Callithrix jacchus: one gene and its partner. The protein of the gene in region 2 interacts with the protein of the main gene of each other region in a biochemical or structural test. Links are inferred from orthologs where the notes say so. Each region holds a gene or a part of one and is shown on either strand. Other genes may lie near its edges. The genes, in order: ANG and RNH1.

Region 1 (15,661 bases), on a different chromosome or scaffold from region 2:
TTCTTTAGAGTAACTTTATCTTCTGTCTCAAACTAATCTGCTAGTTTTCAAAAGAATTAATATTCTCTCTCTCCCCCCACAGGCAAGGTTCAGTATTCAAAAGATTCATCAAATTTTACACACCAGCAAGTTAACTTGATAGTTTATGATGAGTAACTATGGTTATCATTTTAATAAATGTGGCTTCACGCTTTTATATATCCCAGGGAAAAATCTCCCAAAGTGAGAGCCTGACACCAAAGGCATATTAATCCTTTTATCACTTTTCCTTCTTTCTTCCCTTCAACCTGCCAGTGAGCCTTCTTTTAATCTTGGGACATGTTCCACTTTGTTTTCAAAGAGCATCCAGGCCAGGCACAGTGGCTCAGGGCTGTAATACCAGCACTTTGGGAGGTCAAGGCAGGTGAATCACGAGGTCAGGAGATCAAGACCATCCTGGCCAACATGGTGAAACCCCATCTCTACTAAAATACAAAAAAATTAGCTGGGCATGGTGGCATGTGCCTGTAATCCCAGCTACTCAGGAGGCTGAGGCAGAGCAATCGCTTGAACCTGGGAGGCAGAGATTGTAGTGAGCCAAGATGGTGCCACTGCACTCCTGGGCGACAGAGCAAGACCCTGTCTAAAAAAAAAAAAAAGGTATCCAAAACTTTTCTGAAAAAAGAAATTGGCAGGAAAGTTAGAAGGAAACAGTGCTAAAAACACACTTTCTGTTTCTTTCTTGTTAAGCCACATATAATACCTGTAGCAGCAGTGAAGGACAGAGGATGGGGGAGGACTCCAGGTGCCCTTTGGCAAATGGCTCCCCCAGACTTTTGGGGATTTTATCACAACTTGGAAATCCCTCCTAAACTTCCACTTGCTCCCTGTCTCACTAATTTTCCGTTATTCACATACGGGCCATCCCAAAGGAAACTGTTTTTGTTTTAAACTTTAGAATCTGATCCATTTTCTTTTTAATTCATGAGCTTGAGCCCAGAGGCTTTAAAGGGAGGAAAATGGTTTCACTGAAATGGATGGATGACTAGAAATAATAGATAAAACAAATAGAACAATAGATTACCCAGGAGGAAGAATCTCACGAAAATCCGGCAGTTTCCCTTCAATAGGAGATGGGTTCCAGCTGTTTGTTCCTTGAGATGGGTTCCAGCTGTGTGAAACTGGCGGCCTCTCCAGGTTCTGATTATATAGCGTTCACAGTAAGTGGGTGGAGAGAATAAAGCTAAGGACTCCCAATCCTAGCAGGGACATGAAAACCCAGGACACTGCCCTTGAACAAATGAGAAGGGTCATTCACCTTTTCCCTGGGCATGATTGGGTTAGATATTAACCAACCTGAATGGACTAGAGATTTGTCTGGAAGGAAAAGTTCGAGAAACATGGCCTTCTGTTTAAAAATTGCCTTTTTCTGCTGTCTGTGGTGCTTACTCTTGTCCATGGCAGGACTGAGGTTTCACTATTCACACATAATAGTCTGGATTAGTAATATAGTATCTCTGGCCAGGCGCAGTGGCAGACACCTGTAAATCCCAGTACTTACAGGTACTTACGGAGGCCGAGGTGGGTGAATCACAAGGTCAAGAGATCAAGACCATCCTGGCCAACATGGTGAAACCCCATCTCTGCTAAAAATACAAAAATTAGCTGGACATGGTGGTGCACACCTGTAGTCCCAGCTACTCAGGAAGCTGAGGCAGGAGAATCACTTGAACCCGGGAGGTGGAGGTTGCAGTGAATCAAGATCATGCCACTGCATTCCAGCCTGGTGACAGAGCAAGACTCTGTCTCAAAAAAAAAAAAAAAAAAGCATCTCTGATCTTCTTGGGCCAACTCCAAGAACTGCTTTGGAAGATGTCACAGAGTAAGATATGGTCTTCCAGTAGGATACTTTTCCACTGTGCTTTCTATTTATTGTTTATCATATCACATCATTTGGTTTCATGAAAGGATGCTAAGCAGGTTATTCTATCAATTTCATAGAGCCAGGAAAGCACGTCTAGAGAAGGTCATGTGACAGCTATTAGTACACTGCCTGTGGTTGAGGTTGTACCCACTCAACTGCTGAGCTTCAAACCCCCAGAATTAGGCTTTCCATGTTTCCTGGGCTGCTTCTTCCATCTTTACCTGTCCACAAGAGACTAACCCTGAAGATTCAATCTTCTGATCCTTGTAATTACAAAATGGCTTATCTCCACCATCACAGCAGGGCTTCAGATCCATTGCTTGCATAAAAACAGTGGGCCAAAGGTTGCCAGGATAACTTTATAAATCTTATAGTTCCCAATATCAGACAACAGCAGGATACCAACTGTTTCACAGACCCCCAGCATTCGCCCACCGTGGTGTTGGATCTAGGATGGTGTTACCTTTTTAAAAATCCTCAATCTTCTGTTGTCATCTGCCTACCTCCAATTATTCAGTCTGATTGCTCTTGAGAAGCTGTCAAGAAAAGAGAGCCTGCCTGTCCATAAGACAAATGCACTTGAAATCACAATAATTATAATATTCAGTGTGATCTCCCGTTTTGTGAAGCTCTCACATACATAACTACCTTTAACTAGGACTGTGTGAGCCAGGCATTACGTAAATATGTTCTGCTCATGAGGAAATTCCAAGATCAAATAACAGATGAATGGTGGAGTCAGACTTTGAACCCTTCATATGCAAGGAGAAAACTGACCTGTCTTTCCAGACTCAGCTTGAGCAACACCACCTCTGAGTCCCAAATGACTCTCCTCTGTCCCATCCAATCCTTGGAGGGGTTGCTCACTTCTTTCTTGCAGATTTACTGTGCCCAGTACATATCCCCAATGAGACAAGCATGGAGTAGGGGTCCCAAGGTGGCTGCATTGACTCGGTTTCAGGTATGTCAAAGTGCGTGTTTGAAAAGCTGGTGAGTCCACCTGAGGGAAGCCTATTTGCATAAGAGTCTGTGATGCCCCTGGGAAAGGATTCATCCTAATGGAAAACAAGATGAAGGGCAGGAGAAAGATATGAAGGCCAGAGAGCAGCATTGGGAAAGGGGTTCATTGTGTGCCATTCACATCCCTCCTTTTTTTCTTTCTTTTTTTTTTTTTGAGACGGAGTTTCACTCTTGTTACCCAGGCTGGAGTGCAATGGCGCGATCTTGGCTCACCACAACCTCCGCCTCCTGGGTTCAGGCAATTCTCCCGCCTCAGCCTCCTGAGTAGCTGGGATTACAGGCACGTGCCACCATGCCCAGCTGATTTTTTGTATTTTTAGTAGAGACGGGGTTTCACCATGTTGACCAATATGGTCTCAATCTCTTGACCTCGTGATCCACCTGCCTCGGCCTCGAAAGTGCTGGGATTACAGGCGTGAGCCACCGCACATTCCCTTCTTATGCAACTTCCTGGGCCCTAAGAGAGGACCCTTCAATAAAAACTGGAATAAATAAAAAGGTTGTTTCCTGAAATCTCTGTAAGATTCTGAAAACACATAGGAAGTCAGTGTAAAGAAACAGACCATAAGGTTGACAGGGGAGGATGTAGAGGTAGGGCGGAGTAAAGTACTTTCCCCACATGAGGGTACTCTTGGGGTGAGGCAAGTCTTGGACACAAGAGCTACAGCATGACGCCAGACCATCTGCTCTCCCAGAAAGGAAAAGGACATGGGCATCTTTAGATGTTCTCAGCAGCCCTTCTGTGTGGCAGGGACAGATCTCACACAGGGAGCTGGAGCAGAAAAGGAGCAAAAAGGCAGCTTCATTGTGTAGGCTAAAGGAGCTAATTTGCAAGTACTTCTACATCCTGTGAACTTCAAAAGTGCTCAGAGAAGAGTGTGAGCTGATCTGGAGTTCTCATAACATGGCTGGGATGGATCTACTTTTACTTCACCTTGCTGTAACCAGAGAAATCGGCCATTAACCATCACTCCTTTATTAGTTAATTGATCTCACTGACTCTCTATTCTGAGAATTTAAAACAGTGACTAACACTTCATCCCAAACTTGTTTTTTGAGGTTTCAATATGTTGCCAGGGCTCATCTGGAACTCCTGGGCTCAAGCAATCCTCCTGCCTCAGCCTCCTGAGTAGCTGAGATTACAAGCGCACATCACCACACCCCACACTCAAACTGTGTTTGTGATCCCTTGTTTCTAGGATGCACCATCTGATCTCACTTTGGAGACCTTGCCCATGTGAAGTCTCCTGGCTTCTCTTAAAGGCTTACAGACATAACTGGGTTTGGTAGTAGTTACAAAATAAGGCCATCATGATTCCCAGGCAGAGCGGAGAGCTTCCCAGGTTCCCAGCAAAGCGCTACTTTTATGGAATCCTACTGATATGCCTTCATTCTTGAGGTATTGGTCCTCACCCAATGCAAAAATCCTTAGGAGGGTAAATTCTTTCAACAGCTGTCTGTAATTTACACATCTTTAGGCATGTGCTTTAGAGCTCATCCTTAAGAACAGGTTTTGGTAACTGAAAGGCACTGAGGATTTGAGGAGAAAGAAAAGTGGGCAGCAGGCGGAACCTAGGGAGGGATGAACTTCACTTATTTTTCAGATTTGTTGGGGCACCATCCTGCCTGAGCTTCACTTATTTCCTTGTCTTCTTTCTCTCTCTCTGCAGCCCCAAGCAAATGTTGAGCTAAAAAGAAAAAGGTTAGCAGTGAGAAGAAGACTAAGCAAATGGCCTTAAACTGCTTTCCCTCAGTCCCTGGTGCCTCAAGGGTACTAGAGTCTTCTGGGAAAGAGCAAGCATGTCTCTGACCAGTACTGTAAACACTAAAGTTTGTTTTGCCAAATGCCAAAGTCCGAAGTGTTTCCGGAACAAAGAAAAGCAATGGGAAGTGGGGCCCAGAGTGGGTCTCCTCCCTGCATCTGACAGAGTACTCAAATGCTCAGTTTCCTTCTGTGAGCAAACATTGCATCTGTGAGTGGTAACTATTTTAAATTAATCACACATCTCCTTTTCAACAGACTTTGAAGAGCTGAGCTCTGAAAAGTCATCAACCACTCATTTGTTAGGGAGGAGAGCTGACAGGCTCATTGCAACACCCAACTGCCTCAGCAGTCCTGGATGGATACGGCAGCCAACTCCTACAGCCTAAGATAACTTGGTCAATGAAAACACCCACTTTTGAGTGATTTACCAGAAAAGGACTGCTGCATTATACAATCCAATGCGCCTGCAATATGCAATCCAATGTGCCCATGGCTTGAAGCACCAATTCAAGCACCAACTCACACAGAGTAGCCTCTGATTTTGGAGTTCTGCAGTAGTTCTGGGGTGGGGAAACCAGCAGCCTGTGAATATAGTCAGTTCCCTTCTGTGCCTCTGGGCCTTCACTGGACAACTTTTGGAGGATTCACAATCTGCCCACAATGCAAAAAGACAGTTTTTGTTTTTCTTTTAAACTTGGCGCAATGAAGTTTTATTGAAACAAAAAGTAGGGTTTGGGGGAAAAATTACTATTTCATTAGAATGCAGCTATGCACACAGTCATTTGTGTTTTAAAATACAACAAGGAATTATATTCTATGATTAAGGAATATTGCATCTTTGTCAATAATTTTAATCCATATAAAGGAATTGCCAATTGCAAAAAAAAAAAAAATCTATTTTAAAAATGTTCAGTCCAGGCAGGGTGGCTCATACCTGTAATCCCAGCACTTTGGGAGGCAAAGGAGGACAGAACACAAAGTCGAGAGTTCGAGACCAGCCTGGCCAAAATGGTGAAACCCCATCTGTACTAAATATACAAAAATTAGCTGGGCGTGGTGGAAGGCACCTGTAGTCCCAACTACTAGGGAGGCTGAGGCAGGAGAATAGCTTGAACCCAGGAGGTGGAGGTTGCAGTGAGCCAAGATCACATCACTGCACTCCAACCTGGGTGACAGAGTGAGACTCCATCTCCAAAAAAAAAAAAAAAAAAAAAATTTCTGACCACTTTAACTTGAAAGTCATCCCCTTTTCTGGAGATTTTTTTCTCTCTCTCCCTCAAGCCCATAATGTCCTTACACACAGACACGGATGCATGGGTACTCTTTCCAAGGACTCTAGCATTGGAGCACTTTCCTTCTTCATACAGAGTATATATGTTTCATTCCGTCTTAGGATTAATTATAAAATTAGATGATGGGAGGAATGAACAAATAATTTCTAAATTTCTTCATAACTCTAACATTTTATGTCTATAAGCATGAAACTTATTCAATAACAGAAGTCACAGGAAAAGAAGGAAAAGCCCACGTGAAAAGTAGAATCATGGCTCCAGGAAGCGACAACACTACTGATTGAAAGAGAGTGAGGACAAAGTCCTGCTGACATGCCTGTTTTTCCATCAAAGGCAAAAATTAAAAGTTTACTTTTTAGCCAACTCCAGGCTTTGTGCCCATTCCCTCTTTGTCCCCATTCCTTCTTTCCCAGGTATTTCAGGGCATTCTTCTGAGAATAACTGTTTACGGATAATCACAGAGAATATACTTAAATACAGATTAAGTAAAAACTTCTAAGGAAGGGTTGGACTGGCCTGCATTGGTCCACTTTTTCATCCATCTACTTTAATTTGAGTCACAGTGGCAAATGCTTCCAGCAACAACTTGACAAACTTCTTCCTCTTTCCTGCTTATAACCTGATTATCTGCTTTGAACAATAGCTAAAGCCATTCCTCTTTTGCTGGGATGGTTTTTTCCATCCTCTCTGCCAAACCATAGTTCATCTCCACATTACTGGAGTGCCTCGTGTCCTGTTACTAACATCGCACCACTCCATGCAGTCATAGAACAAGAGTGGGAGGGACCTCTGAGTCTGTCCAACCCTCATATTAAAGAAGAGGCAACTGAGGAACAGAGAAAGAGACATGTATTGCTCAAGAAACTCATAGCATTTGTGGGACTAGAACCTTTACATGCACCATACAACTTTTTTTTTTTAGGAGTCTTGCTCTGTCACCCAGGCTGGAGCACCCATCTTAATTTTGTATTTTCAGTAAAGACAGGGTTTCACCATCTTGGCCAGGCTGGTCTCAAACTCCTGACCTCCTGATCCACCCACCTTGGCCTCCCAAAGTGTTAGGATTACAGGCGTGAGCCACCGCACCAGGCCCACACAAGTTTTATATTCCATACTAGTACTTTCTAGAAAATCGAAGCTAACTTTCAAGGTGCCACTAAAAGTTGCTGTTTAAAGGAAGCCAACACTGACTATTACCATAAATTCAAAACATATTTTACTCTGCTTCTCATCAGTAAAAGAATTGCTTGAATTGAAGTGTATGTAATAAACCTATCCTCCTGCAAAACTAGTTAGTGGCTCTGTGGTTAATAACTCATTGAAGACCTGAGGCTGCTTCTTGGAAGGTGGTCCTGTGCTGCAGATAATTATGTCACTTGGGTTTCTAGTGAATATATTATGACTTGACTCTAAGATTCTTACTGTCACGAGGGAGGGTCTTGGCTCATTTGAGATTTCCCTAGTCCCCTGAGTGGTGATGAAATTGTTTTTACTGTCCTTCCTTAATAAAGATGTTGCGCTTTACCCATGTGCTGCTGTTAGCACTTGATGTGCTGTCTCAGAAAGAGAAAAAGGAGGATCCCAACCTTCCAGTAGGAAGGCTTAGGAAGAGGCTGTTGGCAAAAGTCTCTAAGAATTACACAACACTGGCTGAGGGTAGGTTAGGGGTGGGGAGGCAGAGGAGAAAACAACAATCCCCAAATGTTAGTTACGCTTGCAAAAAACGAAAGCCTGCTTCAAAAATCGGGTGATTAACCTGAATAAGAAGCAAAGCTTCCTTAGTTGTGGCAAGTGCAGGCCTCCCAGGGCCTCCCTTAGGTCCCCCTCGGAGCCTACTAACCAATAGAAGCGGCATCTCGGCCCAGCTGCGCAAAGTAAAAAGTAGAGTGGGAATGTAAAGTCGTGAATTCACACAAATACTGGACTTTCACTTCCCTCCCCATTCCTCCCTCTCCCAGCCCAGTCCCGCAAATGCCTCCCGGGGGAGACCCAAACTGCCTCTACTAGGAAGGGACTCCCCCGCCAAAGTGGGGGGGGGGATGAAGCTACCAAAGAGGAGGAAGAGCAGGAGGGTGAACCCACCTCGGCCTCAGAACAAGTCGGCAGAAACGGGCAGCACAGTGAAAAGAAGTTTTGTTTCTCAACCGCTTCTTCCTCCCTAGTTCGATGCTGGGAAGCTGGGAAGAAAACGCAAAGATGTTCTTTGGAAACCTACTTTGTATCTGGGTGGGGTTGGCGTGCGTCCGTGGGGTGACTGTGTGGACAAGGACGCAGATGGGTGTGGCGTGAGGAGAGGAGGGTCGGCCTGTCAGCCTCTGCGTAGGTGGGACCGCGCCCCGCTTCTCCGAGGAGGCCCCTCCCTCCTGGATCCGCTTTGGACCTGGCGCCGCAGAAGCCCCCGCCCCAAGGCCGTAGGGGGGCAGCCCAGGCAATAAACGAACCTGAGATCCACGTGCCCCTTCCTCAGCTGGAACCCAGAGGGCAGCAGCCGCGAGGGCACAGCCTCCACGGACAGCAGATGGCGGGAAACTGGCTTCTGTTTCCAAGAGCCAGGTGGCCTTTCGGAGACGACCCCTGGCTGAGCGTCCAGGAACCCATGAAACTTGGTCTTGACACTGGTCGGCAGTCCATCTGCCACGTATTTAGTGCTGCTTTCTTTGGCAGGGCAGCCTAACGCGAGACGGTTTGTGTTTCAACTCCAACTAAAACTTTGTTCAGTACTTGCCAAAATGGTGTGGAAAAGCATTACCACTTCGGGCTCGTCCGGGATTTGAACCCGGGACCTCTCGCACCCAAAGCGAGAATCATACCCCTAGACCAACGAGCCGTTGTGACTTGAGGTTCCTTCTTATGATGCTGAATTTCTCTTTTCCGCCAGCAACTGACCGCCTCCTGTTCCGAAGGTTTTGTTGTTGTTCCCTCTGTTGTGGCATTTCCTTTGGCCTTATTTAGTTATTCCTTCCACCTTTACCAAGTTTCACGTGTGGCTCTGGCCTTACCCTCGCTTATTATCCTCGATACAGACGCAGGATGGGGTAAGAAGAGGCAGCTTTTTAGATTTTAGGTCACATGCTTGAGTCTCACCGAGCCCGTGATAAAGATTTAAGCCCCGCTACAGCCTGGAGGGAACCTGGAGGGGACTGAGATGGAGATCGAGGGCCAGAGCGGAGCTCAGTTGCAAGGCTGTAGGGTACTGAGCCTGAGGACAGGAGCGCGCTATGTATAATCCAGAAGCCAAAATACAACACACTTCACTAAGATAATAGTGCCTCCCCCGCAACGGTTGGACCATTCTGTCTCACAGAAAAGTATCCGACTTTTCAAGGTATGACTAACGCAGCTCAATTCGTTGCTGTTTCCTTCGGGACAGGGTAAGGGATATAAAGAGATTTCCTCATGTCAACATACAGAGATTTATTGGACAAACCGAGAGCAACTGTTAACCCCAAAACAGCAGCTTCTCCTTCGAGCCGGAATCGAACCAGCGACCTAAGGATGGCCACACAGTAAGTACTACAGTCCTCCGCTCTACCAGCTGAGCTATCGAAGGGAGCGCAGAGACGTGTTTTCTACAAATCCGTGTTCAAGACATCCTTAACCAGAGACTGGAAAGAAAGAAATCTCTTAAGATCTGAAAAGTGATTACTGCAGCGTCGCAAAGCCAGCTTGTAAGAACGTCCTGAGTCCGAGGTTCTGAAGACAACCTTTCTAAAGCTGGATTCCCCTGCTCCACTGAGGGGTTCCCAAGCAGAGCAGTCGCCCCCGGAACCTGGGTATCCCGAGGCTGCACATCCTCTGGGTGCCCGAGGGTTGCTGGCCTCACTGGACGGGGACCCAGAGGCCTCGCGGGCACGGATCTGTGTGTTTGTATGTAAGGTGGGGACCGGCACCTGGGCGTCGGAGCACTGGGGCTGAGGCAGTGGGACGCACACAATTCTGACTGCGCAACTGTGAGCGCCGGAGAGGGCGGGCCTCGGGGCTCAGGCCCGGGCTCGCTGGTGTCCTCACTTCCTGCGATCCCCTCCCAATCTCGGCTCTTCTGCTTACACGTCCATAGACCCGGGAGGGAGAGGGTGTGGAATGGAGCAGTGGTCCCCACTTTTTTGGCGCCAGAAACCGGTTTCCTGGAAGACAGTTTTCCACCCACAGTGGTTGGGGAGGGGGGGAGTTGGGGGATGGTCTCGGGATGAACTATTCCACCTCAGATCATCAGGCATTACTTAGATTCTCTTAAGAAGCGTGCAGTTTCGAACTCTGGCATGCGCAGTTCACAATAGGGTTCGCTCCTGTGAGATGCTAAGGTCACAGCTGATCTGGCAGGAGGCGGAGCTCAGGCTACCGGTACTGGTCGCGCCCCAGCTCGCCTCCTGCTGTGCGGCCCGGTTCCTAACAACAGGCCCGAGGATCGGGAACCCCTGAAATAGAGGACGTGTGGGCAAACCCAATGTTTCTGTGAGAATTCGCTTTTGGAGAAAATAATTTTAGCCCATTCAAAAGGAAGGCCACATTTCTCTGCGTCAGAATCAAATTTAGTGACCCAAGTCTCGCCCCTAAAGTCGGGCCCTTAATTTCCCAAAACCCCACTGGCACATGAAACCTTGCCGCACAGCGGGCATCTATCTTCCGGACGCTTAACCCGAGCAGCCACCGCTGGCTTTTCCCGTTTCGGAAGGGGAACATTGATCTCCACTCCAAATACTCAGACCCCGGGCGTAAGAATAGTTTAAGGGGCTATTCTCTCGCCTGGTCGCCCCCATTTCCCGCCTGGGGCACTGGTTTCGGCAGCCAGCTGGGCTCTCGCCACCTGTCCTCAAGCCAGGGCGTCGCAGAAGCTGATGGCGATTTCCACCGCTGGTGTAATGGATTCCGCCGCATTCCAGGCGACGGAGCAGCGTTACTACCGGAACCTAAAGGAAACGGTGTTTGGAAGCTCTGGACTGAAGCAAGAAGCTATAATTTGCCACATTTCCTCAGGCTTAGTTCAGAATGACGAGCAGGGGAATATTTTAAAGAAAAACCTGATTCAAGGAAGCAAACTTATAAGGCCCCAGCGAGATTTGAACTCGCGACCCCTGGTTTACAAGACCAGTGCTCTAACCCCTGAGCTATAGGGCCTCACAGAAACTTCCTTTCTTTCTTTCATAGAAAAGGAAAACATTTGCAAGGCTTCTAATATCTGAGTATAGAAACTAAACAAAGCCTTGATGTTTCAATCCATTTTCCAACCACTAGAATTCAGTTCGCAGACTCAGTGTTTTTGCTGGGGATGGTGCAAAGTGAAGGCCAGTGACAGCGACCAGTACTATTCTAAGAGTGGAGAAGTTTGCCCAACGCGACACAGTCTAACACACAGAAAGATTCTCCACTCCCCCACTTCAGACTGAAAATTAAGAACAGAAAACCAGCAGAGGAAGGAGCCCACCACAGGCCTCACTTGAAATTGCTGACATCCGCATTTTGTTTCCTGCTTGACTCAGGACTTCGTACCAGCAGCTGCCTGCCTCTTCCAAGTTCCCTGGACGCAGAGACCTTTCTCACAGCTACGAGTCTCAGCGCCGAGCAGGCATTCATTAATTCTCAGTTTAATTCATTCCTTCGTTCAACAAATACTGCATTCCAATTCTGTGCTAGGCTCTGCACTAAGAACTAGGGATCCAGATATGATCTTTATCCTGAAGTCACTGTCACAGTCTTGTGGAACAAAAGAACTTTAGTTTTCATGAAGGAAAACAATGTAAAGTAGCTGTGCCAGGTGTAAAAGAGCAGTGGCCATGCCAAGGTCCTCACACTTACAAACTGAGCCATCCGGAGGGGTCTTGAAGAGAGCACTGGCCTGAGCTACACTACAAAGGGAAGTTAAGACAGACAAAAATAGGAGCAGGGTGGTCCCTGGTAGAATAAAATTACGGGCAAAGTCCGAGGGAAAGACTGAGGCATTCAAGGTAACACTGGCTGGTGCAGTAGGTGAGAAGAAAATAGAAATTAACCAAACATTGATGAGTTTGCGGAATAAATTGAAGGGAGGAGCAACCAGAGTCAGAAACACCAGTGATTGATTGGCATGGTGCAGACGCTCCAACAGAAAGCTGCAAAAGGGTAATCGTTATGGAACTGGAAAGGAAGGGATGAATGAGAGCGATACAGCTAAGGGAGACTCTGCTGAACGTAAATATGAAGCACAATCAAAAGGAAAGAGAGGGGACCCTCAAAGGTGTCTTGAAGAAGCAAGATAATACTTGCAGAAAAAAAGAAGCCTATCTCTTCAGGGTATCTGGAGAGGCAGAGGGGTGATGCTAGGATTTAGGTAAGATGAAGATGGAGCAGTTGAAAACGGAGCAGTTGATGTGAATTGTGTGATAGCCAAAATACTCTTGTGTCTAGAGTTCCATGAATTGATAGATGAATTGATCAAATTGCATAACTCATCCATTAAATTAGGAGTTCTACGGGTTATGCACTCTTGAAGCAAAAGAATACAGAGAAAACAGCCGAGACTAGAATATAAGCTTTGAATAGCCCTGTTATAGGCGTCTGTTATATTAGTGTGTTTCCAACATATTTTAAAAATTCTCCTTACATGTGGCTATTTCATGTATTATAAGTAAGTCTGTCCTAGAACACTTGCTTTCCCAGCTTGCAGCTGGGAATAGGCATGGGACCTAGGCTCCACCAATCAGATGCCTCACCCATTGAAGCCTGACATTTAGAAACAAAACAGGAGTACATGATACCATAGGGAAAACCCATGTTTTTCCAAATATGGTATCAGTGTCAAGTTTTTGAGTATGGGTTTTCTTAAATCCACATACTGCTGTTTTTCTTTAGTTCTGGAAAATTCTCATTGTATTAGTTTGCTAGGGCTGCCGTAATAAAATACTACAGACTAGCTGACTTAACAAATTCATTTTCTCACGGTGCTGGAGGTAAAAAATCCAAGATCAAGGTGTTGGCAGGTTTTGTTCCTTCTGAGACCTCTCTCCTTCACTTAGAGTTGGCTGCCCTCGGCACATGGCTGTCCCTCTGTTGTCCACACCCTAAGGCATCTCTTTGTGTCCAAATTTACTTCCCTTATAGGGACACTAGTCAGGTTGGATTAGGACCAACCCTGAAGGCCTCATTTTAACGTAATCACCTATTTAAATGCCCTATCTCCAAATACAGTTACATTGTGAGGTACTAGGGATCAGGGCTTCAACATATGAATTTAGGGGGGATACATTTTAGCTAATAGTAGCCATTATCTTCTCCTATATTGTTTGTTTGTTTGTTTTTAGGCTAGTCAAATGAAGCAGTGGAACTGGAAGGAACAAAGAGATCTGTAACTGGTTGTGATCAATTAGTTGTAAACACCACTGCATTCAGACCAGCCAGCCTCTTACATTGTTTTTACTCTATTTTTTTTTCTCTCTTTTTGGAACTGAGATTAAACATCTATTAGTGCTTCATGCCTTGTCTTCCATTTCTTTTAACTTCTCTTCCATATTTCTTTGTCTTTTCCTCTATATTGCATTCTGGATAACGTTTTCTTACCTGTAATACCAATCAGTGGCCAGGCATGGTGGCTCATGCCTGTAATCCCAGCACCTTGGGAGGCTGAGGCGAGTGGATCAAGAGATAATGAGTTCAAGACCAGCCTGGCCAACATGGTGAACTCCTCTCTACTAAAAATACAGAAATTAGCCGCCTGTAATCCCAGCTACTTGGGAGGCTGAGGCAGGAGAATTTCTTGAACCCAGGAGGCAGAGATTGCAGTGAGCCAAGATCATGCTACTGCACTGCAGCCTGGGTGACAGAGCGAAACTCAATCTCAAAAAAAAAACAAAAAAAAAACACTAATCAGTAATTCTCTCTACATCTCTGCTTATTTTGGTCATTTATTTTGGTTAAAATGTAATTTCCCATTCTAGAAGTTCTAGTTGTTTTTCAAAACTACTAGGCCAATTTTTTTAATTCCTATTTTTTGCAGATATTTTCCAGCTTGTCTTTTACTTCCTTAAGCACAGTAATTATAATCATTTTAATATATATTACTGATACTCCTAATATCTGAATTTTATGCCATGTTGTTTTGTCAATTCATGTTCTTTTGTTTTCTTATAAAATTAGTCATCTTTGAATGTGTACTGCTTGATGTCTTTGCAAAATTACATGCAGTGAGTTTTTGAGGACAAGATGAAGGTTATCTTCCTTTCAAAATATATATATTACTTTTTTTCTCCCAGGCACTTGGTGCTGTATCAGCCCAAGAGGACCTGAAACAACGTTCATGGCCAGGCATTCTCTGGACCTCCAAGATACGTAAACGCAAGCTGCAAATCAGAATACTGACCTGTGGTCACAGTTTCTCAGAAAAACTCATCACATTTTCTGTTTTCCTTTGCTAAGCTCAACTTATATCTGCTGAACTCCACAACAATTACTAGAAGTAAGAGAACAGATATAGGTCTACTTCTTGTTTGGCCTTACCTTAGGGGAATATCTCTTTGGAGTCCCAATTTAATATTGGGAGGGTGTCTTGCTTTTGAAAATATCAATTTCTGACAGTTCATTGCTAGTACATACAATTGTACATATGTATATACAATTTATAAAATAATATACGCCAAGCCTGGCCAACATAGCAAAGTTCCATTTCTACAAAAAATGTATTTTAAAAATTATCCAGGTGAGGCTGGGTGAGGTGGCTCATGCCTGCAATCCCAGCACTTTGGTAGGCCAAGGTGGGTGGATCACCAGAGGTCAGGAGTTCGAGATCAGCTTGGCCAACATGGTAAAACCCCATCTCTACTAATAATACAAAACATTACCTGGACATGGTGGCACATGCCTGTAATCCCAGCTACCTTGGAGGCTAAGGCAAGAGAATTCCTTGAACCTGGGAGGCGGAAGTTGCAGTGAGTTGAAATTGTACCATTGCACTCCAGCCTGGGCAACAAAAGCAAAACTCCATCTCAAAAAATAAACAAATAAAATAAAAATAAATTATCCAGGTGTGGTGGTGAGTGCCTGTATTCGTAGCTATTCAGGAGACTGAGGCAGGAGTTCAGACTACACCATTACACTCCAGCTCAGGAAACAAAATAAGAATCTGTCTGAAAAAGAAAAAAAAGAAAAGAAAAGAAAATATATATATACACACCCACACATATGCACACAATTAATTTTTTTTTTTTTTGAGACAGAGTCTCACTCCATCACCAGGCACCAGGCTGGAGTGCAGTAGCGCGATCTTGGCTCACTGTAACCTTCGCCTCTCAGGTTCAAGCAATTTTCCTGCCTCAGCCTCCCGAGTAGCTGGGACTACAAGTGTGCGCCACCATGCCCAGCTAATTTTTTGTATTTTTAGTAGACGGGGTTTCACCATGTTGGCCAGGATGGTCTCAATCTCTTGACCTCGTGATCCACCTGCCTTGGCCTCCCAAAGTGCTGCGATTACAGGCATGAGCCACCACGCCCGGCCCACACAATTTAATTTTTAATATTTATCTTTTATCTTGCAACTTCACTAAATTCATTTTTAATTTTTGTCTTAGTCCCTTTGTGCTACTGTAACAAAATAACCGAGACTGGGTACTTTATAAATAATAGAAATTTATTTCTTATAGTTCTGAAGTCTAAAATTAGGGTGTTGGCAGTATCCGTGTCTGGGGAGGGCTTGGTCTCTACTTCCAAGATGGTGCC
Region 2 (15,176 bases):
AGCAGCACCTGTGGGGCATCGTCCACAAACACTCCGTGGCCGAGAGCAGCGGATCCAGCAGCGATGCTGAGCCATCTCCTCCGAGTCTTCCTTTCACAGACTGCCCTGGAGGACGTGTGGACAGGGGTAGAGGCCACTGAACTGGTTCTTGGGACATCCAGTCAGAGCCGGGGCCCTGCTGCCTCCATGGCTGAGTCGAGGGTCATCTTCATGAGCAGAGAGAACCAATAAAGTGATGGAAGTCCGAGGCTTCAGCCTTCCCCCCAGCTCCCCGTGTCCTGCTTTGGGGTCTGGTGCAGCCCCCCCCAGCCTGCCCTCATGCCCACTGCCCACTTGGGGAAAACCACACAAAGGACGGGAGGCACCAGGGTCAGCCTCAGCCTGAGCAAGGATTTAGCGCCCGCCTGGCCTCCCAGAGCAGAGCAGGTGGGGGCACAGCTGGGGATCCAAGAGGGTCCAGGTCCACCCACCCCCTGCTGCATTCATTCCTTGCTGGGAGGCTGAGCTGGTGACCACTGGCCAGTGGACACAGGATTTCTGGGGAGGGGCACTGCCTTCTCAGGCCAGTTTTTTTGAGATGGAGTCTTGTCCTGTCTCCCAAACTGTAATGTGGTGGTGTGATCTCCACATACTGCAACTTGTGCCTCCCGGGTTCAAGCAATTCTCCTGCCTCAACCTCCCAAGTACCTGGGAGTACAGGTACCCCGCCACTATGCCTGGCTAATTTTACTATTTTTAGTAGAGATGGGGCTCACCAGCTTGGCCAGGCTGGTCTTGAATTCCCAACCACAGGTGACCCACCCGCCTTGGCCTCTCAAAGTGCTGGGATCTGGCCAGACCACTATTTTTAAAACTTTACCATGAAAACTTGCAAACACAAGTGGGGAGAAAAGGGGTCGCCGTGGGCATGGGGTATGGGGTGTGGGTCGCAGGTTACAGGGTCTCCTGGGTGCTGTTCTTCACTGTGGGCATGGGGTAGGGGGTGTCAGTGGTAGGTTGGACACAGCCTGGGGGGTCCCGGGAGCCAGCTGCACCCTCACCCCCTGCTCTTCTTCGGGCCCCAGGCTTCAAAGGGCTTTACTTTTACTGCTTTTGGGGAAAGTCTCAACCCGTTAAGTCATGAGGCTGGAATGAGGAGACAAGAGCAGCTTCCCCGGTTCAGCAGGATGGTGCCCTGTAGCCACTGAGCCTCACACCCAGCAAGTCCCTTCCCTACGGTCACTCACACCTTTGGCCCCACCGTGCCTGTCCACCTCTGCAGGATACACAGGGCCTCAGCACTCCACTCTGTGCGGGTGGTAGCTCGAACCCCCCAGGAGGAACAGGTGGCAGTTTTCACCTGGTCTTCCCACTGCGGGGGCCCCTCCCCTCCCTCACACCTCATGAGTCCCCACACCTCCCCTTCACTCCATGCTCTGCATCCCTGCTCACACTGAGCCATGTGTCTGGGTGGGTAGAGGTGGTGCCTTCCTCAGTCACTGTCTGCTCTTCCCTAAGGGGTGGGCAGGGGGCTGTGATCAGTCCTGTGTTCTGGCACCCGGCCCCTGGGAGCCTTCCTGGCAGCTCCTCAGGCCCAGACAGCACCCACAGGCTCCGGTTCCTCACACCATCAGCCACTCCAGGCTCACGCTGGGTGTCTCTTACCCCAGGCAGGCCTGGCACCAGCCATTTCCCCAAAGAGCCTTGGTCCTCTGATTAGGAAGCTAAGAGTCTGGGTTACTTTGTTAATTTTTTTTTGAGCTGGCTGGAGTGCAGTGGTGCAATCTCAGCTCGAGGTAACCTCCACCTCCCAGGTTCAAGCGATTCAGGCACCTGCCAGCACATCTGGCTAATGTTTGTATTTTTAGTAAAGATGGGGTTTCACCATGTTGGCCCAGCTGGTCTCAAGCTCCCGACCTCAAGTGAACTGCCCACCCCAGCCTACTTCCCAAAGTGCTGGGATCACAGGCGTGAGCCACCACGCCCAGCCTCAGGTCACTGAAAAGGGCTTTATTGGGCCAGGCCAATGGCTGACACCTGTAATGCCCACACTTCAGGAGGCCAAGACCAAGCACCAGCCTGGGCGACATGTCAAGAGAGAAGCTCATACCAAGTGGCGTGGTGCACCCAATACCAGTATCCTCAGACATCCCAGGAAGGACAGGAGCCCAATAGCAGCGCCCTCAGAGACCCCAGGAAGAACAGGAGCCTGACACCAGCACCCTCGCAGAGACCCCAGGAAGAAAGAGCCCCTCCTGCCAAGAAAGTGTTTTAATGATTGTAAAGTATCCAAAATACACTAGCAGAAATAAGCTGATCTGAGCATTTCTCTTCAAATCTAGGAAACGCAGGGTGAGAGCCCAGGGGTGCCTCGAGGCCAGGCTGTCCAGGGAGAGCGGGTCTCAGGAGCCTGGCGGGCAGGAAGCGGCTTAGGAGATGATCCTCAGGGATGACTTCTCCTTCTCCAGGGCCTGCAGCTGGCGGTCCATCTCCAAAGACCAGTAGATGTCGTACAGGCTGCACACAGGCCAGAAGGGAGGAGTAGGCAGGTGTCCTCACCCAGCCCGCCCCCCGGACCCCCGCCCCCCGCCCCGCACAGGCACGTACACCAGCTGCTCCAGGTGGCAGGACGGCTGCCGCAGGCTCTCCAGCAGCATCTGGATGCCTTCGTCCCCCATGCAGTTGTTGCTAAGGTCCAGCTCGCGCAGGCTGTCGTTGGCCAACAGGGTCTTGGCGAGGCTGAGGCAGCCAACGTCAGTCACATCGCACTCCCCCAGCCTGGGTAGAGCAGGGTGGGGGTCAGGTGTGTGGGTAACCCCCCATATAGGCCCCGAGGAATGAGAGCTAAGCAGAACCCTGGCACAGTTAGGGCTTGAGGAATATCTCACTGTACAGTGTCACTACTCAGCTATTTCCTTTTATATAATCCTTTACATAATCATATATTAGTTTATAGAATTAGGGCTTGAAGAATCCCTTGATATAATCCCCTATATGTAATCATATAATAGTTGATAGTATGAGGAGTGCCTAAAGAATATTTCCCTACATATATATATATATATATATATATATATAATTATATCTTAGTTCATGGTCAGAGGAATGCCTGGAGTGGACACAGTACAGAGCATGAATTAAGGAATAAGCAGCTCATAATCGGAGGAATGCCTAGAGCAGATATGGCGCAGAGCATGATTTAAGGGAAAACAGTTATGCCAGGACAAGAACCCATGGCCCAGGCGGCAGCGTTCAGTATCGCAAAGATACCCGCTGTGTGGCAGGCTTGGGGCGAGAGCCACTGCTCCTGGTAAAGGCGTTGTAGGACCTTGCTCCAGTTCTTGGGGAAGGCCGCCCTCAGACCGGCACTCCACCTTGGTGACTGTGAACTCTATCAGCTCTTGCTACTGTGCTGCTCGAAAAGCATCTTCCCATAGAACCCACTGGAAGCTGCCAGCAGGTGGCGGTAACCCTCTGTGGCCCTGGGCAGGTGCCCACCACAGACAAGGCCAGCACGCAGCCCCTTGGCAGGGCACAGCAGACTGACTCCCTGAGCAACTCTCTCCTCCCACGAGGGGCAGAAAGGACCAGAGGAAGACAATGTCCACCCACAGAGCCACGTCCACCCCCCGCTCCCCACCTCCTCAACACTGCCTGGCCAAGTGGGGCTAAGAGGAGAAGCCAGCCACGGAGACCGAGGGGCAGCTGTGGGGAAACGAGGGTGTGGAGGGTTCTGAGGAAGGCACAGTGGACAACAGACTTCAGGCTCCCGAGAGAGACTAGGGTACAGGCCAGACAAAAGACAGTGGAGAAAACCCAGCACTCACTCCCCAGGGTGCAGCCGCATCCGGCCGGAGCCAGGCCAAGGAGCTGTGCTGGGCCTCTACAAAGTGGGAGCCAGGGAAGCTGCAGGACCCCCACCCTGGCAGTGGCTCAGGCAGACAGGCCTGCAGTGACCAGGACCCAGGGTTCCATGCCCCACCTGGAAGGCCCACAGGGTCCTGGCAGCCAGGATGGCGTCCTGAGAGCCCCCCCCCCCCCGCCCCAGGAAACACAGCCACGACTCGCCTGCCCAGCCCGCTGCCCAGGGCTCCCGGGCCTCACTCTGCACTTGGTGCCCGGCCACCCATGGAAAGCCCCTGGCGAGAGGCACAGGTGAAGCAGCACACAAAAGACAAAACACTGATGGTGGAAATTCAGTAGACTGGTTGAGGAACAAGAACATCTCCCAGAAATAAGAACAAAACCTCGAAGAGACAGAACATTTGGAGAACACAATTAGCGGGCCAGTCCAGGAGACCTCACGGGCACACCGGGGCATGGTGGCTCACACCTGTAATCCCTGCACTTTGGGGGCCGAGGCGGGTGGATCACCTGAGGTCGGGAGTTCGAGACCAGCCTGAGCAATATGGTGAAACCCCATTTCTACTAAAAATACGAAAATCAGCTGGGAGGCTGAGGAAGGAAAGTTGCTTAAACCCAGGCGGAGGTTGCAGTGAGATCGCACCACTGCACTCCAGCCTGAGCAACAAGAGTGAAACTCTCAAAAAAAAAATGAGAGGAAAAATCACCAAAGGCGTGATACTTAGGACAGCCAAGTATCCAGCACAATAAAAGAACCAAGACACACATCAAGGCAAAGCACATGGAACCCCAAACACAATGGGCAAAGACATCTTTAAAAGCTGCCAATGAGAAAAAGCACATCGTGCACACAAGATCATGATGGCTCACACCTGGCATCCTAGCACTTTGGGAGGCCAAGGCAGGTGGATCACCTGAGGTCAGAAATTTGAGACCAGCCTGAGCAACATGGTGAAAGCCCCATTATTCAGGCATGGTGATGCACCCCTGTCATCCCAGCTACTCGGGAGGCTTGAGCCCGGGAAGCAGAGGTTGCTATGAGCAGAGATCACGCCACTACACTCCAGCCTGGGTGACAAGACTCCATCTCAAAAAAAAAAAAAAAAAAATCAGAACAGCAAAGTCCTCTCTGGAAGCCAGAAAATGATGTAGCATCACCTACCAATTCTACAGGAACATCTGTAGCCCAGAATTCTATACCCAGCTGAATTTGTAACCCAGAATTCTATACCCAGCTGAATGACCCAAGGGCAGAGCAGATGCAGGCCTCCAATAATTACCTTCTGCAGAACCTGTTCTTAGGAAGCTGCAAGACAACGTGCTTTAACAAAGGGAGGAAACCTGGGAAGACATCCTGACCCTGGGTTCCTGCATGGCAGGAAGGTGGGCGGGACTTCCAGGAAAATGGACCACAGGGTGGCCAGGGCACGCTGGAGCCCCAAAAGCTATTAGGCTTCATGAACCAAGACCTCTGTCTCTGACTCTGATCAAAGTTGCAAGAAGCCAGAATGGTGCCGCCATGCTGCCTTCCCCAGCACATGAACACCCAGGTTCTTACAAACGTGTTCTCACATGGATGCTCGTGCTCTCACACACACACACACACACACACACACACACACGACCTCCCAAATATGCATATTCATGTCCCTCACACACTCACCAGAGTGACCGCATCACAGAGCCAGGCTGGCCCAAGCCCTGGCACAGCTCCTGCACACCTGCATCTCCCAGCCTGTTTTCACTTATCTGCAGCTCCAGAAGAAATTTATTCTGGGCCAACACTGAACTGAAGTGGGAGCAGCAGGCAGCTGTCAAGCCGCAGTACTTCACCCTGTGGACACGGACAAGGACTGAGGCCTGGAAGGGGCCCAGGCTGGCCCACAGCTGCGACCGGCCCTTCCCCTAAAGGCCCCACATTGACCTGAGCAGAAACATCCGAGAGCCTCCCAGCTTGTGGGCACCTGTGGCTGGTCCTCAGCCCCAAGCAGTGTCCCCACCAAACCACGGGCTGCTCCTGGGCCGTGCATTCTGAAGGTCAGAGCTGAAACCAGCACCTCCCCTGGCCTTGGTCACCCTGACCCTCTCTTGGGTGACAGGGTCCCATCCCGCCAGCCACACTCACCACAGCGACTCCAGCTGGCAGCCAGGCTCCAGCAGGCTCTCACAAAGCACCTGGGCACCCTCGTCCCCAAGCTTGTTGCCAGCCAGGCTGAGCTCCTTCAGGCTGTCCTTGGCCCTGAGGACACGGCCCAGGTCCTCGCAGCTCTTGGCGGTGAGGCCACACTCCCAGATCCTGTGGGAGACAGACCCCCCCAGGGACTTTCCTCAGCACTGTGGCATGGCCTGAGGCAAGTCCAGGTGTCGGGGGAGGGCTCCAAGGATGGCCTGAGCCCCTGACCCTCTGGGAGGAGGCCTCAGGGAGGTGACTTACCATAGGGTCCTGAGCCTGGAACTGGGGTGCAGCAGCCCCGGGCACAGCTCCGCGATGCCCATGTCGCCCAGGTTGTTGTGGCCCAGGGCCAGCTCCCGCAGGGAGGCCTTGGAGGCCAAGATGCTGCACAAGTCCCTGCAGTTGTCCGAGGTGACACCACACCTCTCCAGCCTGGGGTGCAGGTCACGTGTGAGGCACACCGGACACCCCCGCCCACACCCCGCACCCCCCGCCCAAGGCCCAGTGCCTACTTGAGCGTCTCCAGCTGGCAGGGGGACTCCTTCAGGCCCTGGCACAGCACACGGATGCCGGCCTCATCGAAGTCGTTGTTGCCCACCGTGAGCTCCTTGAAGTCCGGCTTGGCCCTGAGCACCGAGGCCAGGGGCTCACAGCTGGCAGACGAGAGCCTGCAGAACTCCAGCCTGCGAGGCAGACCAAGCTCAGCACCACACAGGAATGTGTGCCAGCCGAGGGCGTGATGCCAGGGAGTGTGGGGGTGCTGGCGTCTCTTCCCCCCAGCCTCCTGCCTGGGCACCAGCTGGGAGTGCTGAGGGCCCCCTAGAGACTCATCCAAGGTGGCTGGTCAGGGACAGACAGCCAGAGGCTCAGGCCTCTGTGGTCACTGGCATTCCTTCTGGAAACCCCTCACTAACCAACGGACCCACCTCAGACTCTGGAACCCAACCAGGCCCAAGAGAAAGAAGCCAGCCTCTGGAGGGCCGGGCCACCTTCCATGCCGGCTATGTTCAACTCAGTGGCCAGGCCCCCCACACACCGGGGTGCCCCCCACACACTGGGGTGCTGAGTGCAGCCTGACTCAAGGCCACACATCTGTTCCCACTGTCAGGTCCCAGGACAGCTGTTCCTTGCCAAGGGCAACTGAGGGGGTGGGAGGGTGACGACGGAGCCCCCCAAAGACCCTGTGACCTGAGTCCACTCATCACGGCTCCTCTCCTGGCAGGGGCTGCTAGGGGACAGGCAGCAGGGAGCACAGCCGCAGGAAGGGCACACACTCACTGCAGCTTTTCCACGTGGCACTGGGGGTCCAGGAGTCCCTCGCAGAGCAGCTGCAGGCCTGCATCCTTCAAGGCGTTGCAGGTGAGGTTCAGCTCTTGCAGGGTGGGCAGGGAGCGCAGTGAGCCAGACAGGACCCTGCAGCCGTCCACTGTCAGTTTGCAGCACTCGAAGCTGGAACAGGCCTGGCTGTCAGCAGGGCTCCCCGGAGCCAGCTACCGCCCACTTCACGGGCCCGGAGCCCGGAGCCCAGAGCCCAGAGTGGTGCCCTACAAACGGCAGGCCTATACCTACTCCTTCCCTGGACGGAATCTGGGGTCTCCAGGCCGGCCGGGAGCAGGGGGCACACGTGTGGCTCAGCCCAAGGAGGCCTTGTCTGCAGAAACCCCTTCAGCATGGGTCCAGGAGAGCCAGCCAGAGGCTCAGGCCTCCGTGGACACCAGCATTCCGGTGATGCCGGAAGCCCGGGGATTGCAGGCAGGGGCAGACCTTGGGTGCAGGGGCTGGGACAAGGCAGGAGGGGCCCTGTCCCACCACTGCGAGGCCACTAGGCCTGTCTGCCTCTGGCTGATGTCGGAAGTGCCCAATGCCACCACCTGCCCGCCCACGACCCCTGGTGGCTCCGTCCCCTGCTGCCGGGCTACCAAACAGGCCGCACGGGGCAGAGGTGGTGCCAGCCCCACCTCACCTCAGCTTCTGGATCTTGCAGGAGGAGCTCTGCAGGGCCTGGAGGATGCGGTGCACGCCAGCATCGCCCAGCCCGTTGCTGCGCAGGTTGAGCTCCGTCAGCACAGGGTTGGCCTGGAGTGCAGAGCTGATGCCCTCACAGTGGGCCTCCGTGAGGCTGCAGTCATCCAGCCTGCGGCCAAAACCTAGGGTCAGGCGGGCCACGGCTGGCGCCGGCCTCAGACCCCACCGCCCCCCACGCGCAGGGACGGCCATCAGTGGGCCCAGAAGACAGCGAGGCGAGTCACAAGGGACATTGTAGAAACGAAACGTGAGCCGAACGTTCTCAGATGTTGCACGCGGGCAGACGTGCCGGGCCTAACACTAGCCTCTGGGTCTGTCTCCAGGGAAAAAGCAAACCTGAGTTAACAGCTGTGGGAGCTGCCCGGACGGGACGCGGCTCGCTGTTTAGACACAGGAGCAAATAAACAGTAACACCAGCTTCTACACTCAGGTGCTTTGTGATTAATGAGTAACTAAATAAATACAGTTGATATTTAAGTAACTGAGGAAAACCAGGCCTTGCTCACAGAAGAATGACAATTGATAAATGTGGAGAAAAAGGCACTTTGGGAGGCCGAGGCAGGCGGACTACGAGGTCAGGACTTTGAGACCAGCCTGACCAACAAGGTGACACCCCATCTCTACGAAAAATACAAAAATTAGCCAGGCGTGGTGGTGGGCACCTATAATCCCAGCTACTAGGGAGGCTGAGGCAGGAGGATCTCTTGAACCCAGGAGGCGGAGGTTGCAGTGAGCCGAGATCACGCCACTGCACTCCAGCCTGGGTGACAGCGAGATTCCATCTGAAAAAAAAATTGAGGAGAAAAGAAAGAAGTTACAGAAGAATTCAGGCCAGCTGCAGTGGCTCACGCCTGTAATCCCAGCACTTTGGGAGGCCGAGGCAGGCAGATCATCTGAGGTCAGGAGTTCTAGATCAGCCTGGCCAACATGGTGAAACCTCATCTCTACCAAAAATACAGAAAGGAGCCAGGCATGGTGGTGCGCGCCTGCAGTCCCAGCTACTCGGGAGGCTGAGGCAGGAGAATCGCTTGAACCCAGGAGGTGGATGTTGTGGTGACCCGAGGTCAAGCCACTGTGCTCCATTCTGGGTGACAGAGCAAGACCCTGTCTCAAAAAAAAAAAAGAAAGAAAAGGAAAAAAAGTACAAAATCCTAACGAGACAGATCTCACAGGAACCACCGTCCGGCAGGAGCCTCTGATGCATGCCGAACATGGCAGGCAGGTGGAACGCAGACATAGGAGTGAGCAGGGCCTCAGTAGCCCCACCAGCCAGCACCTCCGCCACCAGAACTCGGGAGGCTGAGGCAGGAGGATCACTTGAGCCCAGGAGGGCGAGGCTGCAGTGAGCCATGATTGAGCCACTCCAGCCTGAGTGACAGAGCGAGGCCCTGTCCCTAAACGTAAGAATTTAAAGTATCTGTCGAAGGCACTGATCAGTCACAGAAGGAAAAGCAGTGACGTCGCAGGGGAGGGCGTCAGCATGGGCCCGGCAGGCGCCCGAGTTCTTCCCAAAAGTGCGTGGGTTCAACCATGGGAAACCATCAGACACCCCAACAGAGGACACCCCACGTCTGCCTGTCCAGACACTCGGACCACCAAGAACCCGGAGAGATGAGGGGACGGTCACAGTTGGGAGAGGGCCATGGAGACAGAGGACTGGAAGAGGAAAAGGGCGGGGGAGAGGAGACTGCTTGGAGGTGCTGGGCTGGCGCCATCGTCCCCGTACACACAGGACCGCCTCACCAGGGGAGAGCCGTGCAATCCTCCCAACTCCTCTGCAAGCCTGACACGACTTCAAATAACCAGTGAGAGGAAAGATGAGGCCCACGCAGGCACTTGTTCCTGCTGTGAAGCCGCTGGGTTTGTGAGGACCTTGAGGGCCGAGGACTCCCAGCCCCAAGCTAGGCAGGGACAGCCAGTGCCCACGGATGCCCACTAAGGGGACCCAAGCTGTGTCCTGCCCCTTGTGTTTCCAGGGGAGGGAGAGGGCCCAGGACGCTGGAGCCAGAGACCCACTGGCTGGTGCCCGCCCACCTCAGCCCGCTGCATGAGCCCAGAATGATTTTACATTCCTAAATCATTGAAAAGCAATACAAGAATCACATTTCACACGTGGAGGCTGCATAGAATTCACACTGCCCATCTATTAAACAAGGTGTTCCACAGAAGCACACCTTCAGAGGAGCTGCCACCCGCAAACCTGCCCCTGCCAGTGCCCCAAAGCCACCCCAAGGGCAAGTGTACCTGACCGTGTGGCACTGCTGGAGCAGGGGGAGCAGCTTGGCCCATCTACCACTCAGCTCTTCACACTGGATGTCCAGGCACTGCGTGTCCACACTCATGGCGGAGGTCGGGAGTAGCCTGGGTTAGGGGCAGAGGGAAGAGAACGTCTTGGCGGAATCCCCTCAGTTTTGCCAGCTGGGAGTCTGCAAATTCTGCCACAAGGCTGATGCTTCAGGAGGAGCCACAGCCTCTCCCGGGCCAGCACTTCCTCTTCAGGAGCTTCCCACCTTTGTCCAGGAGCAGGGGCCAGGACCCACCCCTGGAAAGGCCACCATGGGCAGCAGAGCTTGGGGACACAGATGCCAGCCCAGCCTCTGTGGGCACCTCCTCCTGCCCCACAGAGGCAGGGACAGCAGCAGCCCAGGAAGCCTGGCCTCTAATTTGCCTGGGCAGGGACAGGGTAGGGATGGGTGGTCGGAGACCCGGGCAGGGGAGCAACGGGGCCTGTGCCTCACTCAGGGGAAGTGGACTGGGCGGGCCAGGCAGGCTGCCCATAGAGCCCAAGACCTCCCAGGATGCCAGGATCCTGGACCCCAGCACCTCCCACACAACCAGGCTCCATGGCCCTGAAACAGCTGGCAGGAGGGGCACCAGCCAGTGCCCGCACAGGGCGGAGCAGGTGGGGTAGGCACTTGGGGTGTCAGCTTTCATGTCCCCTTCTGGGGCTAGGGACTCTTCACCAGGCCAGGGCACGTCCCCCGCCCCACAGCACGCCCCCCGCCCCACAGCATGCCAGCCTACAGAGGCCTGGCTGTCAGGCTCGCCCAGGACTGGCACAGCTGCCATACCCTGAAACCTCCTGAGGGACAGGCACAGAGCCGGAATGAATGCAAGACCGGCTGCCCTGAGAGCACAGCTCAGGACCCACCTGCCTGCCAGGGCCTGGGGAACGAAGTGGTCAGGCTGAGACAGCTACCCCAAAGCCTGGTAGGTGGATACATTCCCAGAGCACCTGCCAAGCACTGGCCTGGGGGCCTCAGCAGGGCGGGAACCTGGAGAGGAGGGGGACCCTGGAGGTAGCAGTCCTGATGCCATGCTGGGGGGAGGGGCGGGCACAGTAGGGAGAGGGCTCTCATCCCAGAGCCACAGAAAGCTGGCAGGCCACACTCCAGGAATGACAAATCCCCAGCTGCCCTTCACAAAGACAGCCGACAGTACAGCTCAGAGGCCGCTGCTGAAACCCTAAGCTTCCTGGTGCCTGGCACGCCCTCCCAGGGATGGTTCTGAGGCAGCCAGTCCACTCTGGCTGAATGGGGGGAAGAGGCCCCTGGTACCCACTAGGAGGAAAGAGCAGGGCTGTGTCTGGGTCCACATGCCTCAGCGCCGGGCCTGCAAGGGTGCTGTGGCAAAGGGCAGTGACACCCCACCGCCCCAAGCATGTGAGCAAACCCAACCAGGGCGTGGTCACCCAAACCCTGACTCCAGAATTGAGTCACTGGGAGGCACTGTGGGCGGAAAAGGGGGAAGCAGAGCCTTGGGGGGGCTCCCCAGGCTGCACGCGCTCCCTGAATCAGCCTGACACTCCTGTGTCCTCTGCACCCAGAGGAAGCTGACCCCAAGGTGTCTTCCTCCTGAGAAAGCTTGGTGGGGGCCCAGAGCGGCCAGCACTCCCATGACCACCTGAGACGAGGGCTGTGGGAGGGGCTCAGTCCCCATCACTCAGGCTTGACCAGACCGTGCTGTATCCCCAGGGCTGCACCCTGGAGCCAGGAAGGCACATCTGAACCTGTGTAGGACACTGAGCCCACTGAAGACCCCATGAGCATGTGGGTGTGCCCACCCTTCTGTTTCTGGAGGAGGCCCCCACCCCCCTATTCAGCCAGGGCTAAAAGCACATTCAGGCACCACCGCCGCCAGCTGGCAGCCTGCTATGGTCGAGGCGAGAGTCTGACCCACGGCCCTGACGGTCCCTTATCCAGAGACCAGACCTTCTCAACCTTATGGGAGGTCTCCGCAGCGCCCACGGCCTGAGCCCCACCCTGGGGAGCCACATAGGAGGGAGCTGTCTGGAGGTTCTGATGTGACCAGGTCGTGGACATGGCAACCACCGGGGGCGCAGGGCCCCCCCCCAGAAGACCCGGGCCACGCTCAGGTGACACGCAAAGGGTCCCGATCCTGTGACCCCTGCCCCCACGCCGCGTCGGGTCCCTGAACCCACTAGTTCTGGACACCCTGCCCCGTACTAAAAGGCTGGGACGGGACCTCAGAAAAATACGCAAGGGTTGTCCCCTCCCGCGCCGGCTCAGCCCAGAACCCTCACCCGGCCAGCCCCGGGCTCCTTCCGCACAGGCGGGGGCGGGCGGAGCCTCCAGGCGAGGGCGGGTCGGGAGTCCCCTGGGGCCACACCCACTTACCCTCTTGCTCAGCTCAGCCCCCGGGCTCGTCCCACTTCCCACCCGTTTGCCACAGTCTGGCCCCCACCAGCCTTTCCATTTAACCTGCACCCGCCTTCAGTCCCTCCAGCTTCCGCAGCCCCGACCACCCAGGAGGGACGCGCCCTGCCCCTTCCCACAACCAGGCCCGATTCCAGAAATTCCCCGAACTCAGAAATAAAGCAAACCTGAGACAGAAACAGCCGGTAACGTGTGGCTGAGGCGAAATGCACAAGGCTGTGAGGAGGGTTTTCGGAGAGCGCTGGGCCGCCCTGAAAACTCTGTGAGCATCAGGCAATAGTTCATGCCTGAGCTCGGGAAACGTTCAAAAATCTTGTTTGGTCCCGCCTTTCTGGACCAAACCAATGTATCTTAACTGTGTTTCGTGGATGTCTCACATCTCCAAAATGCATAAAACCACGCTGCATGAAAAGTGAGCGCAGCACTTATTAAAAAAAAAAGAAACCGGGGCCGGGCGCGGTGGCTCACGCCTGTAATCCCAGCACTTTGGGAGGCCGAGGCGGGTGGATCACGAGGTCAAGAGATCGAGACCATCCTGGTCAACAAGGTGAAACCCCGTCTCTACTCAAAATACAAAAATTAGCTGGGCATGGTGGTGCGTGCCTGTAGTCCCAGCTACTCGGGAGGCTGAGGCAGGAGTATTGCTTGAACCCAAAAGGCGGAGGTTGCGGTGAGCCGAGATCGCGCCATTGCACTCCAGCCTGGGTAAGAGCGACACTCCGACTCAAAAATAAAAAAAAACACCGAGCTGCCCCAACCACCGACACGTTCTCATGGTCTCCTGAGAGCTATGTCACCAGCCACACTCATCTGGCTCACAATAAATCTCTTCAAACATTTTACCCTTTTTTTTTGAGACGAAGTTTCCCTCGTTACCCAGGCTGAGTGCAATGGCGAGATCCAGGCTCACCGCCACCTCCACCTTCTGGGTTCAAGCAATTCTCCTGCCTCAGCCTCCCCAGTAGCTGGGACTACAGGCGTTTGCCATCACGCCCAGCTAATTTTTGTATTTTTAGTAGAGACGGGGTTTCACCATGTTGGCCAGGCTGGTGTTGAACTCCTGACCTCAGGTGATCCGCCCACCTCTGCCTCCCCAAAGTGCTGAGATTACAGGCGTGAGCCACCACGCCCGGCCAGTCTCAATCTCTTGACTTCGTGATCCACCCACCTCAGCCTCCCAAAGTGATGGGATTATAGGCGGGTACCACCACCCCGCCTATTCTTATCAACAGTACGATTTTAAAATACGAATGGCCCTGAAAGATGTCCACACCCTAATCTCCAAACCGGTGGCTTTATCTAAAAAGGGAATTTGCAAATGTTGAGACGCTAAGACTACCCTGGGGGGTCTGGGTGGTCTGCATAAAATCAGGAGAGTTCCTATGCAGGAGGCAAAGACAGGTTTTCTAGGTGGAACAAGGTCACCTCCAGAAGTTGGAAGAGGAAAAGTAGATTCTCCTTGGGAACCTCCAGGACGAGCCTTGCCAATACCTTGATTTTAACCTCCTAAACCTCACTTTGGGCGTCTGAGCTCCAGGCCTATAAAACCACCTATCTGTGGCAAATTTGTTATAGCAGGGATGAGGCCACAGCTAACTGCATCCTCCTCCTGGGCTCAAGCAATCCGCCCGTCTCAGACTCCCAAAGTGCCGGGATTACAGCCTGCGCCAGAGCGCCCAGCCCAACGTAACTTTTTTTTTTTTTTTAGACGGAGTTTCAGTCTTGTTGTCCAGGCTGGGGTGCAATGGTGCAATCTCGGCTCGCTGCAAACTCCGCCTCCTGATTTCAAGCGATTCTCCTGCCTCAGCTCCCGAGTAGCTGGGATTACAGGCCCTGCCACAGCACCGGCTAATTTTTGGGTTTTTTTGTTTGTTTTTTTGGAGTTTCGCTCTTGTTACCCAGGCTGGAGTGCAATGGCGCGATCTCGGCTCACCGCAACCTCCGCGTCCTGGGTTCAGGCAATTCTGCCTCAGCCTCCCGAGTAGCTGGGACTACAGGCACGCGTGGTTTACTCAGCCCATCGCTAAGACAACATTTAAAACGGATTTCAGATTTTTAGGCTTTCCACTATTCTAGAACGGCCCGCCCGGTTCTAAGGCCCTTCTGAAACACTGCCAAACTGCCCTCGGGAAAGGGTGCCTAAGTCCTCAGGCATTTCCGAGGCGCGTGGGCACCTTGCCTGGAGCCTCTCCCCACAACGGGACGTGCCTGGGGCCTCTTCGTCATTTCCGCTAACTCTGGCGACAGCCCTGACGCTAACCCCCAAGTGCCGTCCCAGTTACGTTGCTCTCTACGCAGCACCAGGCGGCAGCTTCGCGGCCCGACATCCCGTCCCCGGGTGGTGCCGGGGCGAGGCTCCGCAGTGGAGCGCGGAGGACCCTCCTTCCCCGCCCGAGACCGCCCACGTTTCCCCCAACGCCCCGTGGTGGGAGCCGAGCGCGTCTTCTCCAGGGCGGTCA

Evidence for each region.
Region 1: the proteins of RNH1 (region 2) and ANG are reported together in a solved structure, tested with the Homo sapiens proteins (3 studies listed by BioGRID and IntAct, with this or other methods). The link is inferred for Callithrix jacchus from reciprocal best matches to the Homo sapiens genes RNH1 and ANG.

Annotation. Positions count from the first base shown.
Region 1 is NC_133509.1:55,338,093-55,353,753, reverse strand, and holds the start of ANG (angiogenin precursor), read right to left. Parts: upstream 8,646-15,661; 5' UTR 8,063-8,645; intron 1,165-8,062; exon of another isoform or gene 1,064-1,164; intron 1-1,063. UniProt on the Homo sapiens protein: Secreted ribonuclease that can either promote or restrict cell proliferation of target cells, depending on the context. Endocytosed in target cells via its receptor PLXNB2 and translocates to the cytoplasm or nucleus.
Region 2 is NC_133511.1:131,390,616-131,405,791, reverse strand, and holds the end of RNH1 (ribonuclease inhibitor), read right to left. Parts: 5' UTR 12,885-15,176; intron 10,403-12,884; 5' UTR 10,384-10,402; coding exon 10,286-10,383; intron 8,151-10,285; coding exon 7,980-8,150; intron 7,466-7,979; coding exon 7,295-7,465; intron 6,700-7,294; coding exon 6,529-6,699; intron 6,449-6,528; coding exon 6,278-6,448; intron 6,140-6,277; coding exon 5,969-6,139; intron 5,678-5,968; coding exon 5,507-5,677; intron 2,758-5,506; coding exon 2,587-2,757; intron 2,497-2,586; coding exon 2,409-2,496; 3' UTR 2,236-2,408; downstream 1-2,235. UniProt on the Homo sapiens protein: Ribonuclease inhibitor which inhibits RNASE1, RNASE2 and angiogenin (ANG). May play a role in redox homeostasis. Required to inhibit the cytotoxic tRNA ribonuclease activity of ANG in the cytoplasm in absence of stress.